2 linked regions of the Nothobranchius furzeri genome follow. The protein of the gene in region 1 purifies or fractionates together with the protein of each later gene. This does not show direct contact. Links are inferred from orthologs where the notes say so. Each region holds a gene or a part of one and is shown on either strand. Other genes may lie near its edges.

Evidence for each region. The genes of interacting proteins can lie anywhere in the genome.
Region 2: the proteins of copb1 (region 1) and copz1 fractionate together in Homo sapiens (co-fractionation; 8 studies listed by BioGRID and IntAct, with this or other methods). This does not show direct contact. The link is inferred for Nothobranchius furzeri from reciprocal best matches to the Homo sapiens genes COPB1 and COPZ1.

What each region holds. Positions count from the first base shown.
Region 1 is NC_091749.1:61,890,761-61,896,630, forward strand, and holds the start of copb1 (coatomer subunit beta), read right to left. Parts: upstream 3,494-5,870; 5' UTR 3,337-3,493; intron 1,568-3,336; 5' UTR 1,503-1,567; coding exon 1,412-1,502; intron 1,175-1,411; coding exon 945-1,174; intron 811-944; coding exon 641-810; intron 574-640; coding exon 459-573; intron 225-458; coding exon 132-224; intron 43-131; coding exon 1-42. UniProt on the Homo sapiens protein: The coatomer is a cytosolic protein complex that binds to dilysine motifs and reversibly associates with Golgi non-clathrin-coated vesicles, which further mediate biosynthetic protein transport from the ER, via the Golgi up to the trans Golgi network.
Region 2 is NC_091755.1:25,753,795-25,759,835, forward strand, and holds the start of copz1 (coatomer subunit zeta-1), read right to left. Parts: upstream 3,994-6,041; 5' UTR 3,881-3,993; coding exon 3,863-3,880; intron 3,448-3,862; coding exon 3,379-3,447; intron 1,943-3,378; coding exon 1,861-1,942; intron 1,782-1,860; coding exon 1,690-1,781; intron 1,564-1,689; coding exon 1,508-1,563; intron 1,413-1,507; coding exon 1,335-1,412; intron 1,258-1,334; coding exon 1,206-1,257; intron 1,109-1,205; coding exon 1,070-1,108; intron 330-1,069; coding exon 282-329; 3' UTR 1-281. UniProt on the Homo sapiens protein: The coatomer is a cytosolic protein complex that binds to dilysine motifs and reversibly associates with Golgi non-clathrin-coated vesicles, which further mediate biosynthetic protein transport from the ER, via the Golgi up to the trans Golgi network.

The DNA.
Region 1 (5,870 bases):
ACGAATAAATCGAGCACGCTCCGAGGGGTTAGCGTGGCAAACCTAGCCAAAGAGCACAAGAACTCAAATGTTAAATCTGTTTGCTACTTTGCCCTAAAGGCCTGACTTAGTCTAGTAAAATGCCCACTCACCTTGTAAATCAGCTCAACGATGACGAGCTGCAAGATGTCACCAAAAGTGTGAACCTGGTCAATGCATGTGCTGAGGTAATCCAGAGCGCGATCCTGTGGGGGGGGTTACACAGTTGAGCTAACAATTCGTTAGACGGATGTTATAAGGACTAAGGGAGGAGAATCTATTTTTAAATGCACCGTGAAGCAGATGTAAACGTTTCTGAATAAAAATCTAGATTCAGTAATAATAGTTTCATAACTGCGTTACAACCCTCTGAGTCCTGATTGAACCAAATCACGACAGGCCTAAAAACTCCCACCCCTAAAGCTCAGTGGTCCACCAACCTGATCTGCATGAATCAGCATCATGAAGGCGTTTCTCTTACAGCTGGCGTCCTTCTCATTCACGAGGAAATCATGAATCAATTCTGGAGCGTCTGGGATGAGATGCTCAAAGTTCCTAAAATAAAAAAGCTGATTATTGATCTGCACTGGCAGAAGATTACAAGACAGGAAAATATCGGTACCTGTAGATGGTGTAGATGGCCAGGACTGCATTTCTGCGCACGTAGCTGTGACGGTGCTCCAGGCAGGCCCGGATCGCTGGCATGAGAGGCTCAAGTAGCTCAGACTCCTTCAGCTTGCACAGGAAACGCAGAGTGGAGCCGCGGATGAACTCATTGGGATGCTGAAGGTCCTAAAATAAAAAAAGAAACGATTATTGCAATCTTGTTTTAATAAGAGTACTGAGAACAAACGTATCATTTTAGCTGTTCAGCTATTATTCCAGCTGAAAATGATGTGGAAAATAAAAACAATTCCCCAGCTTACCTTCCTGTAAGCATCACAGACAAGAATCATCTCCTGAAGCAGCTTGCCATCTGGAGTCGTCTTAGGAACAATCTCCCAGAAAACAAGGAGAAGCTTCTTGATGGTGTGGTCTTGAAGTGGCAGCACGAAGCGAATTATAGTCATGAGCAGTCCAGGCAACTTCTCACCGTTCAAGATCATGATTATGACCTTCTTCAGGGCTTCGGTCTTTGCTTTGATCTCTCCCTTTTCTGGAAGACATTAGAATTATGTCAAAACATTTCATTTGTTCAAATCTCTACCTGACGACACCTGCCTTCAGCTAACATTTTACATGAAGACGAGTTTTAAAATGTTTTGAATAGATCCAATCTTTGATCCCAGTTAAATTATTACTTTATACACAATCAGAAATTATTACAAAAGTTTACATCTTTACTACAGTTAACAAGGAAATCGTTTTGTAAAATCTCAAGAAGAAATTTTACCCAGATCTGTTTTTAAGCTGACTTCAGAAGGAGGCTCAGAGTCCGACTGAACATTGATCAGTGTGTAACAAACGTTTTCTGCAGCCGTCATTTTTGCTGCCTGTTGGACGGGGTGGATTTAGAAGAATCCCAGTAAAGTTCCCTTCAGTGTAATACCTGCAAATATGGAAAATAAATGTTAAAAAATGGCTGATAAAACAAATGCTGAATGACAAAAGATGTTGGAAATAAGTATAAAGACATCTACACAGAGGCTGGAAACAACGTGAGGAAACAAAAACACATCACATTCGTCACATTTAAACAAATCAATAAGAGAAGCAATCACTTTGAAGTTAAAGGTGCAGTATGTAAGAATATAGTGAGAATTTTGCAGTGAGAAAATCCCAAAAGAGTTTAAAGTTTCAGTGATTTTGGACGGAAGGTTATACTGAAACATGTTTCATATCCAGCTGGCTGCAGGAATTGTCAGTTTTCCTCCTTTCAAAACAAAGGAAGGAGGGACGTTACTACTGTTTACTAGTAATGCACCGATATGACATTTTTGGGCCAATACCAATATCAAGATCACTGTTCTGGCCAAAAACCAATATTTGCAGATACCGACACACTGACATCAATGCTTCTAAAATCAGCAGATTTTGTATAGAATGAAAATTATTAAAGCTGAATTTAGGTTATTATGAACACACAACACACACATTTACACTTCCGAGATGATTTCATTCACAGTTCACATGACTAAACAATCACACATCACCCCCCTCACCCTCTGAAACAGGCAAACAAATGGAGACAAGATGGAAAAAATATTGGTTGATAATATTGGCCCGTTTTTTCTTTTTTTTAATCGGACCGATACGATATGTTAAAAATGACTAACATCGGCCGATACCGATATCAATACATTGTCCATCCCTACTGTTTACCATCAGTGAGTGTGGGGTTGCTGTGTCTCCTGCGAGCTAATACTGCAGCGCCGACAATTATAATTTGACGACGGCCGGCAAAAAGCTCCAGAGTTGTTTTAAGTGGTTTCAGTAACCAAATTTTACTACACTTAATTTCTATATAATGCACCTTTAAAAAAGTATAAAACTCCTCAGTTAACTTTTTTCATTGTTTCTGCAAGAAACCTAATGAACAAAAAAGACTAACACATTGAATTAAATCAATAGCCTTCATTAAAATTGGTGTAGCAATTGGCCAGGCTGCTTTATTTGGAGGGTTGCTGGTTCAATGCTAAATCTATCTAACTGAGAGGTTTATATTAGAAATATACAACTTGAGGTGGTGCAATTTATGTTTTCATCTTGATCAAGACTTCATTCACAAACCTTGATTTTCACACATTGACTGTTGCCTTTAAGTTTTAAATTTCTGCTAAACAGTCGATGAGAGAGTTTAAACATTTTGCTGTAGTGATCAAACTGGCAATGACAAAACCTACAGCTGTAAAAAGATGAGAAATTTAAAGTTTGTTACAGGGCACCTGTCATCGCTGTAGTTACACAGGTAGATGCTATTTTTTATGATCATATGCCTCTTACCACATGATTTAAACACTTAATTTTGACAGTAGTTTTGTAACAAATAACGATAATTAAGCAGCTGTTACAGCTATAGCGAAATAAGCTAGTACGTAGCTAAGCACAAATGTCATCGCCTTTGCGTTGAATGTCTAAACGTAGATGGGCGGCACATGACAGAATTGTAAAAAAAAATAATAATAAAAACTAGTTTTGTCGTCTACACGGCTGATAATGAAATAAAATGGGAAGCTAAACAGCCACCGTTAGCCAACAGTAGCTTTAGCTTTCATCCAGGTTTGCAATGAAATGGAGGACGTTTGATAGTTGCTAACGCTGGTAGCAAAAACTGGATAAATCCACTCACGTTAGAAAATAATATGCTCCAGGACTTACCTAAAACACGGCTTTTATCCCAAACGGTCGCCTTCAATTCCCAACTTCAAATATTAGCATGAGTAAAAGAACTAGAAGAGCTCCTGGTGTTAGGGCTACCCCGTCGGCTCTCGGGTACTTCCTAGTAACGTGGAAGACTGCTCACTGAGCCACATCACTGCTACGGTGCGCCGGAAGGCTCAAACGCGCGAAAAAAAGGACAAAATCCCACATTTTACAGACATGCATATTTTCTTTTTAAAATAATTCGAATTTTTTTTTACTTAAAATGTTGTCGAAAACCTGTAACTTATTCACTTGCTCAGACTTTAATCAAACACGATTTTTTATAATGCAAAAGCACACAATAAAAACACAAGTATAAAAGTAGAGAAATTGAGTATTAATGCACCCTTTCAGTGAGAGAAAAGTCAGTTTCAACGTGTCTAGATGTATATGATTGGTGATTGTTTTGCTGTTAAATGCAAACAAATGACACTAAAACTATGGGCTGTATTTAAAACGGATTTAAAATTTCTATGTATATCAAATTTCATTTTTAACACAAATTCTGAGCATGAAATGTGATCACAGCAGTTGATCAAGGATACTTGCCATAAAAACATAAAAAAGCCGAAATATCTAAAAAATTAATAAATATAGTACTGCTAGAAGAGTTAACATTAGTAAAGATTTATACTTTACATATTACATCGATTTCCTCCTCGTGGTAAAAAAAAATCCAGTTCAGAATTTTTTTTGTTTGTTTGTTTGTTTTGCGATGTTTCTTCTGTAGCCTATAATTAAACATTTAAACACTTCTGCCAGAAAGGAACCCAACTGAATAAAGTGGCGTGCAGCGCCCTCCGGTGGAAACTAAGCTGAGTGACAACGTGGGTGCACAGAAAATTGAATGAATGAAACCGACTCCAAATTTTCAATGAAACACCTCAAAGGGTGCGGGTTGAATAGGTTTGCCAATATGTCGACAGTTACCAAAACATTTCTTTGTTGACCAAACTTAGAAGTCCAGTATATACACAAAACTACAATAAAAAAGTAGCTCTGGCTGATTTTTGCAGAATGAATTAAAAACAAAAAGGAAGAAAATAACAAGATAGAAAATATTTTAAATCAGAGTTTTTTTAACCCTCTGAGTTTTATGAAATGGTACCCAAACCTATGCATGAGGTGTTGAAGTGGTATCAAGATTACAAGCCTTTAACACTGACTGATTATTTTGTTTAACACATTTAACCACAGAGCAATCTCAGTTTACATCGTGTTCAAATGGCCAGACTGCTTTGCGTCATTAGTTCTTTGACCTTTTAGCAGACATTTAGTTGTTGCAGGAACAGGTGCAGCTAATGACATTAGAGCAGCCTCTTCTTGACCAGTGGGCCGTGTGCACAATGCAGGGTCTGACTGAATGGAATTATGTGCTGTCGTTATTAATTTTATAAACAGCAAATACACATTTCCTGCTATCTTGTGTTAAAAAGTCTGGTGAGGTAATCAAACAGCTGACTTTGACAAATCTGTTGTCTACACACACACACACACACACACACACACACACACACACACACACACACACACACACACACACACACACACACACACACACACACACACACACACACACATATCTATAAAATTGTATTTATTTTTTTGTGGCAAGAAGGAAATTAAATGAGTTAGTTGCACTGTCACTAGCTGGGTTTAGCACTTTGACTCCACACAACCATTGTGTTTAACAGTTACATAAATTCAATTGAAATTGTGCAATTAGTGACACAATAACGTAAAGACTGTTAGTTTCAATGTTACTGCCAATAACCGCCACAGTATGTTTTATTTTGAAATATCTACAGGAAGCACTAATAAGTTATGTCTTGTTCAGATTTATGAGCTTTAACAACTTGTGTCCACTAGAGGGCGGAAAAAAATCCATATTCTCAAAAGCCAGAAACTGAAGGATTGAGTTCTCGTGCTTTCATCCAGTTGACATAAATAAAACAGATATATAGACAGTACATGTCCATCAATCAAATCAAATGAAAGATTACAAGTAATTAAATTAAAAGTTTATTTAGACACAATACAGTAAAAATATATTGTCTTACTGGTTACTTTTATTTTATTTATTTGAGTTGTTCACACATTAATTTATTAAACGTAAAATCCCTGTAAGTCTAGCGTGGATTCAGTTCAGCCCTTTGGCCGCCAGAGGGCGTATGATCGGAAATGTACGTTGAGCTGAAGGTTAATGTCATAGCTCATCGATTTAATCTTGTTAAACAGATAATTTAAATAGATGTAAAGAGTTTTAGTAGTTAAGGTATAAGTGAAAACATTTTAGCTTCCCGTCATACTGACTATGCAGGTGACGATATTTTAAAATGAGTAATTTTTCAGTGGTATGTTCCATTTTGGAGTAATTTACAGGAAGCACTAATACGTTCCGTCTTGTTTAGATTTATGAATGCTGTAGTAACAGTACCTTGGTAACACCCTTCCTCAATAGGAGTCATAACGTGAAAAGATTTAACGTG
Region 2 (6,041 bases), on another chromosome or scaffold:
CATTTTTATTATGTGAGATTATTGGAATGACAAAAGGACTTGTTGATGTAGATCATCTGCTTTAAGAAAAACAGTTTCTTCAATGAAAAATCAGAACATGAATGGAATGTACATGTTTTATCCTCATTTTAATCATTCAACGAACGACTGAGTTGAAGAATGTAGCAGTCCTGAACTGTGATTGGATCAGCCATTAATACTCCTCAAAGCTTTGACTCAGGTGGACGTTAAAGGAGGAGAATCAGTGTCATGTGAGCTCTGGTGGGCTGGTACAAGGATGACTACCGAAGAAGTGACCATTTGATCTGTTCTTTGGCAGATTGAAGCACCTGTGAAAAAGAAAAATTCCAGCTCAGAAAAGGTTTAATTGTTTATGATAAAATCATGGCTGCCGCATGAGATAAATCCTAATGAGAATAAAAGATTGTGCAGAAGTTTAGAGTCATCCTACATCTTTGTTTTGCTTTAAATAAGTCTGTACATTTCTATAATAGTGTGAAATAAATTAGAAGATGTTCGACATGCTCAACGTTTAAAAAAAAAAAAGGAACATGAAGTTATAAGGTAAGCATCAAAAAAGTTACAAATAGTTGCTAAAATGCTTTTAAAAATGACCATAGTGATATAATTGAAGATAAATAGTCTAGGTCTAATTAATCATTCTAATTGATTGAGTGAAAGCCAAATCATAACCATAAAACAGAGACTGGACACAGATATTAATCATGGCCATAGGAGAAATGGCGATGGGCAGTTTCAGACCTCTTAAATGACAACATTAATCAAGAGGAGCTCACACTCGCTCTCTCTCACACACACTCCGGGAGAGAGAGATGGGCCTGAGTGAAAATGAAAAGACAAGGACCACTACTGGCTATCCACCAAATAATTAGTTATCACACACTCACACACACTATTTGACAACCTGAAGGCGAGTGAGAAAGTAAAAACAGGAGAATGATGCAATAACAGCTTTTACACTCTGAGGTAAAGACTTAACAATCAATAAACTAATGGATCTTTTAAACTTTATTATAAAGACAGAATCAGTGTAGAGGTTTTTTCTTACCTGGGTGACTGTCTGCTCTGTCAGTGGTACATCATCACCCTACAAGAACAAGTATTACAACAGGTTTACAGCGTGCGCACACACACACATCAACACTTTCACACCGTGTTGAACATTTGTGATGAGAAATACTCACTCGAAGAGCCACGCGATGCACAACCTGCTGCGGGTCGCTCTCCAGGACCACGCTGTAAGTAACCCAAAACACCACAGTAAGTATAAAGAAAAAGTTTTTAGTTAAAGATCATTGGTGGTTCAAACTCACCCCCCATCCACTATTTCATCCACAGCCAAGAAGAGTCCCTCCATATTCTCCAACAGAGCTCTCCTCTCAACATTTTTTCTGTAAAATTAAAGAGAAATAACTCAATCCCAATCTGAGAGATTAATGGTTTATAAACATTTGACATTTTGTGCTAAACTGCTACCAAGACATACCTCAACATCTGACTGAGGGAATCAAATAGGCAGTTTAGAACAGCCATGAGCATAAGCTATTGAAAAAGAACAAATTTCAACAAATAGTAATTATGTGAAAATATTAGCAGTTAAAATGTGACTGTTTTATCTGCTATAATTAAGAAAAGGCTGACTTTTCATGAAAGTTCTTTCAGTTTTACCTCATTTTCATGTGAACTTCCGATGACATAAAAGAAGAGATCTATATTGCTCTTGTAGACAACAGTTAGGCCTTCCAGTAATGCAATCTCACCTACAAACAAACAAATAATACCATCACATTTTAGTCATGTACTGAAGCAAACCAATTACCTTTAATATGCTTAGCTTACTGTCTGTTCTGTGTGTTTTGTTGAATATGTTCTTCTCAAACGCCTTTTGCTCCTTCACCGTCGGATATGTGTCGTCATAATACTGCAGACACACCAAGAAGAAAAGTACATTTTAAAACAATTCAAATAAATCTATTATTTTACATTAAAGTATATAAATAATGTGGTACGTAAAATATTCTTCATTAAAATAGGAAACATTAAGTTTCTAAAAGGTCTGACTTCCCTATCGATTCTGTGACACTAACCCCGGGTTTCCACGGGAGCCGTCAGCAGCACGTTACTGCAGCAGCACGTCTTGCTCGCGTAAGCTGCTGCTTGGCCCTTCCCACGAGACGCGAAGCAGCAGGGGAGCAGCTGTCACCGACCGAGCACGAAGTCACACGAGTGACTTCGTCAGTAAACACAACAACAAGCAGGAGAAAACTACAACATGGTTTGTGTTTTATGTTCTGTCCGTTTTATAATCGCCAATACGGACCTGAAAAACAAAGGAGACCACTAGCTGTGTGATAACTTCTCACGGGGACGCACAGTTAGTAACTGTTTTTAAAAGTAAAGCAACCGGAAGGCAGTACGTTCTTTATTCTGAAAATCTCGAGAGCTTCTCCCCATTTCCGCGTTCGATTTCCTGTCTTTCCTTCCCCAAAAATGTCGAACTTGACCCGTTTCAGAGGCGTCGCGCGTAGAAAATAGAACCGGCGCGTAAAGGCCGCGACATGCTGCTCCTGAGACGCGGCCGACTCGCGCTGCTGACGGCTGCCGGCGGCTCCGGTGGAAAAGGTTCTGTTGACCACAGCGGTTCCTATCAGCAGCTATGACGTGCTGCTGCAGTAACGTGCTGCTGACGGCTCCCGTGGAAAGCCGGGGTTAGCCAAACGGTTTCTACTACGGAAGCAAACATATTTAAAACCTAGTAACATAGTTTTACATTTAAAACTTTGCTTCTATGATTAACAATATTTAAAATTATGATATAAAATTACAAGGATTGAATAATGTGAATTATACTGAGTCAGTAAAAATAAACTTGTTTTTAAACAAAACTTTAAGGTGTGGGGGTAGGAGCCATCAGCTTTGACCATTTTTAGCAATAAAAAGTAAATAAGATACATTTTAAAAATGAATACATTAAATTAAAATTAAAATAGTTAACCATATAAATCAGGAACACCTTAAATTTTAAACAGACCAACAGACCAAGGAATAACGCCTGTAATTTGTCTAATTAAATTTCTCTATCTAATTACACAAAAGACTCCTGTGTTTTTTTTTAGTGCTTTGCAATCACCACCTTCAAATACATCTAAAAACTGTTTGTGTACAGCTCAAATCTATTATTATTAAATAGGTCATGAAAAATTTATGAAAATGTATCAGGTGTGTTGAATAATTAACTTATTGCTTTTGGGGGGATCTAATCCAAGTGAAAAGCTGTAATATTGACATTAAATCAGACTTTGCGTGTTTGAAGAAAATATTTAAAGTAAAAAAGATGAATCAGGATTAAAGTCATACCTTGGCATAAAGCCTGTCTCCGTCATTGTCCAGAATCAGAACAGCTTTGACCGTATACAAAGAGGGTTCCTGTGAAGACAGCAGTACAGTGCGTTGTGTTTAAACAAACATAAAGGACTAGAAATTAAGGTTTGTAGTAAGAAGGATAGTTTAAGAAAAATGGCCGTGATTAGGCCATAATAGGATCGTTTAGTCTTAAGACATGTATCAAAAACGGTTGTAAAAATGTTGTCATGACGGTATTCTTGTTCATGTCAGGTGGAGGACATGACACTTCCACATCAGCAACAAACGGACACATACTTCCTCGACGCTAACTAGTTAGCTAACACTGTAGTTAGCTCTCTGTCAAGTTAACTCGGGAGGATGCTAAATAAGCAGCATTTCGCCTAAATTATGAAGACAATTTAAAAAAATGTTTACACTACGAGGTTAAACGCTTCACTAACATTATGCCGTCATGAAAAAATAAATTAGATATTACCAGGATAGGCGAGTCCATTTTCTTTCTTGTTGGCAAACCAGCTACACGGCTAACACTAGCCTACAATCAATTCCAGCATCTTACGTCGTGCGTAAGAGCAAGGATTACGTCACTGTTGACTTTTTTTAAACAAACTTTATTAACAACTTTATAGACAAAACAGTCTTCATCATGTGTGAATTTTTTTTTTACCTGAAAACTGCACAGATTGAACGGAGTTTGAACAACAAAAATTTATAAAATTATAAACTTCAATGTTAAAAAAATTTGGGGAAAAATAAGCACAAAAATAAATGTTATAAAAACATAAAACAAATCTGAATAGCCTTTGTGTTTAAATTGAACATTTGAATATTTTAGATTAAATATTTCAAACTGTGGACAAAAGAAATGACTGACTAATTCTTGACCAGTTTCAGGGACTTTGTAAATGCACTTATGTTATTATTCCAGTTAGTACATTTTGTAATAATCATAAATAAAAATCTGCATTTGTGAATACAGTGTTGGATTATTACAATCAAACTATCAATCAAAAATAAAAACATTTTAATTCAAAATAATAGTACCCAATTTAGTAGCAACTTCGAGTACATCAATGCATCTAATGCAGACTAAAGAGCAACGTGTTTAATGTTTTGATGAACAATATAAAAAAGGATGTGGTTTTACAGAAAAGGGTGCAACCATAGCTGTCCTCTTCTCCATAAATCGAAAAGCTGAAAAGTCACATAACGGAAAATAAAAGAAAGTCACTTTAAAGTCTTAAAATCTTTCATAACATTTACTTTGCAATGATGTGACACAAAATGATAAACGTAAATCCAAATCTGCATTTTATTTTACTGTCACTCAATAAGCACCGTTTAACAAGCTTACTAAAATTGTTTCACCTTTAACATTGTTGACTTTGTTGCTTTTTGTAAATGGAGGATAGTGTTTAAAAAATTAAATGCAATTCTGTAGCTTTGCAACAAAGTTATAAGTTTAGCATTTCAGACTGAACTTTTTTCTTTCATCAAGTTTTCACAAACTTGATTTCTGTAACGTAAAAAGCTAAATATGTTTTTCTAACATCATGATCTTATTTCCTTGCTTTTGTTAAACCAGAAAATTAGAACCTAATCCTTCTTTTTGATGTCCATAGGAACCCTTTCAAGCATCATTAGAACAATATCTAACTAAAACTTTTGTCTTTAAAATTAAAGGTTCCTCCACTCATTAGCTGAAGCTCTGTGTCACACAGCGGTTGCTGCATTGAAAAACATCATACGAGCAATCTCTCCATTTACAACCCGTTTTATGTTTCTCGTTCTCATCAGCATCTTTTTTTACAGGATCCTCCCACATTTAACCACCTCCAATTATCTTACTTCCCACTTCTGGGAAACTTTTGGAAAAGCAGTCTGATGGGGATTTCCCTCTATCTCAATCCACAAATTACATCATTGTGTGGCCTTACAGTTACCTTCTGTTACTCTTGAGTTCCAAAATAATCATGGAAAGAGATCTCTTGGCTTGTAGAGAGGAATTAGAAGATCCAAACTTAGTTTGTACACATTTGTAACAGAACTGTAAAATCATGAAATGTTGCACAATATCACAGCTATTTCAAAATCCCCAAACCGAGGAGGAAGCCGCCCTGAAGTTGGTTCCCAGATGTCACGTCATTTTTCAAACATATATATGAGTTTGAGATGATTTCAGACAGTATAACTGTGGCTGGTGGAGAGGATGAGGGGTTGTGAAGCTGTACAATGAGCTTCTGGCAGCAACCACAGCAGTTAGCAGTTCCCTTTCTCAGAACCAAGAGCTCCTTTTATCAGCATCAAGCAGAGCTTCCGCCAGCCAACATCCTCCTTTCCCTGCCTTCCCTCTCTGCGTGTGCATTACCAACCAGCCTTCGCATGCTATGAACATACATGAGGCACATGCACAAATGCATACACACACACTGACACAAAACATTAGCACACAACTAGATAATAAATTGTCATATGACAGTGTATTTTTCTGTTTGTCTAATGTAATTTTAATAATTTGGGGTTACAGAAAATTCAAAAAATAAATGAAAAATAATCCAGCGATGCAACCTACTGTTGCAAAATGTTATCAAGATCAGAACATCTTGAGATAACCCTGCGTCTTATTGAGACATTCATTAGAATGATGCTGCATG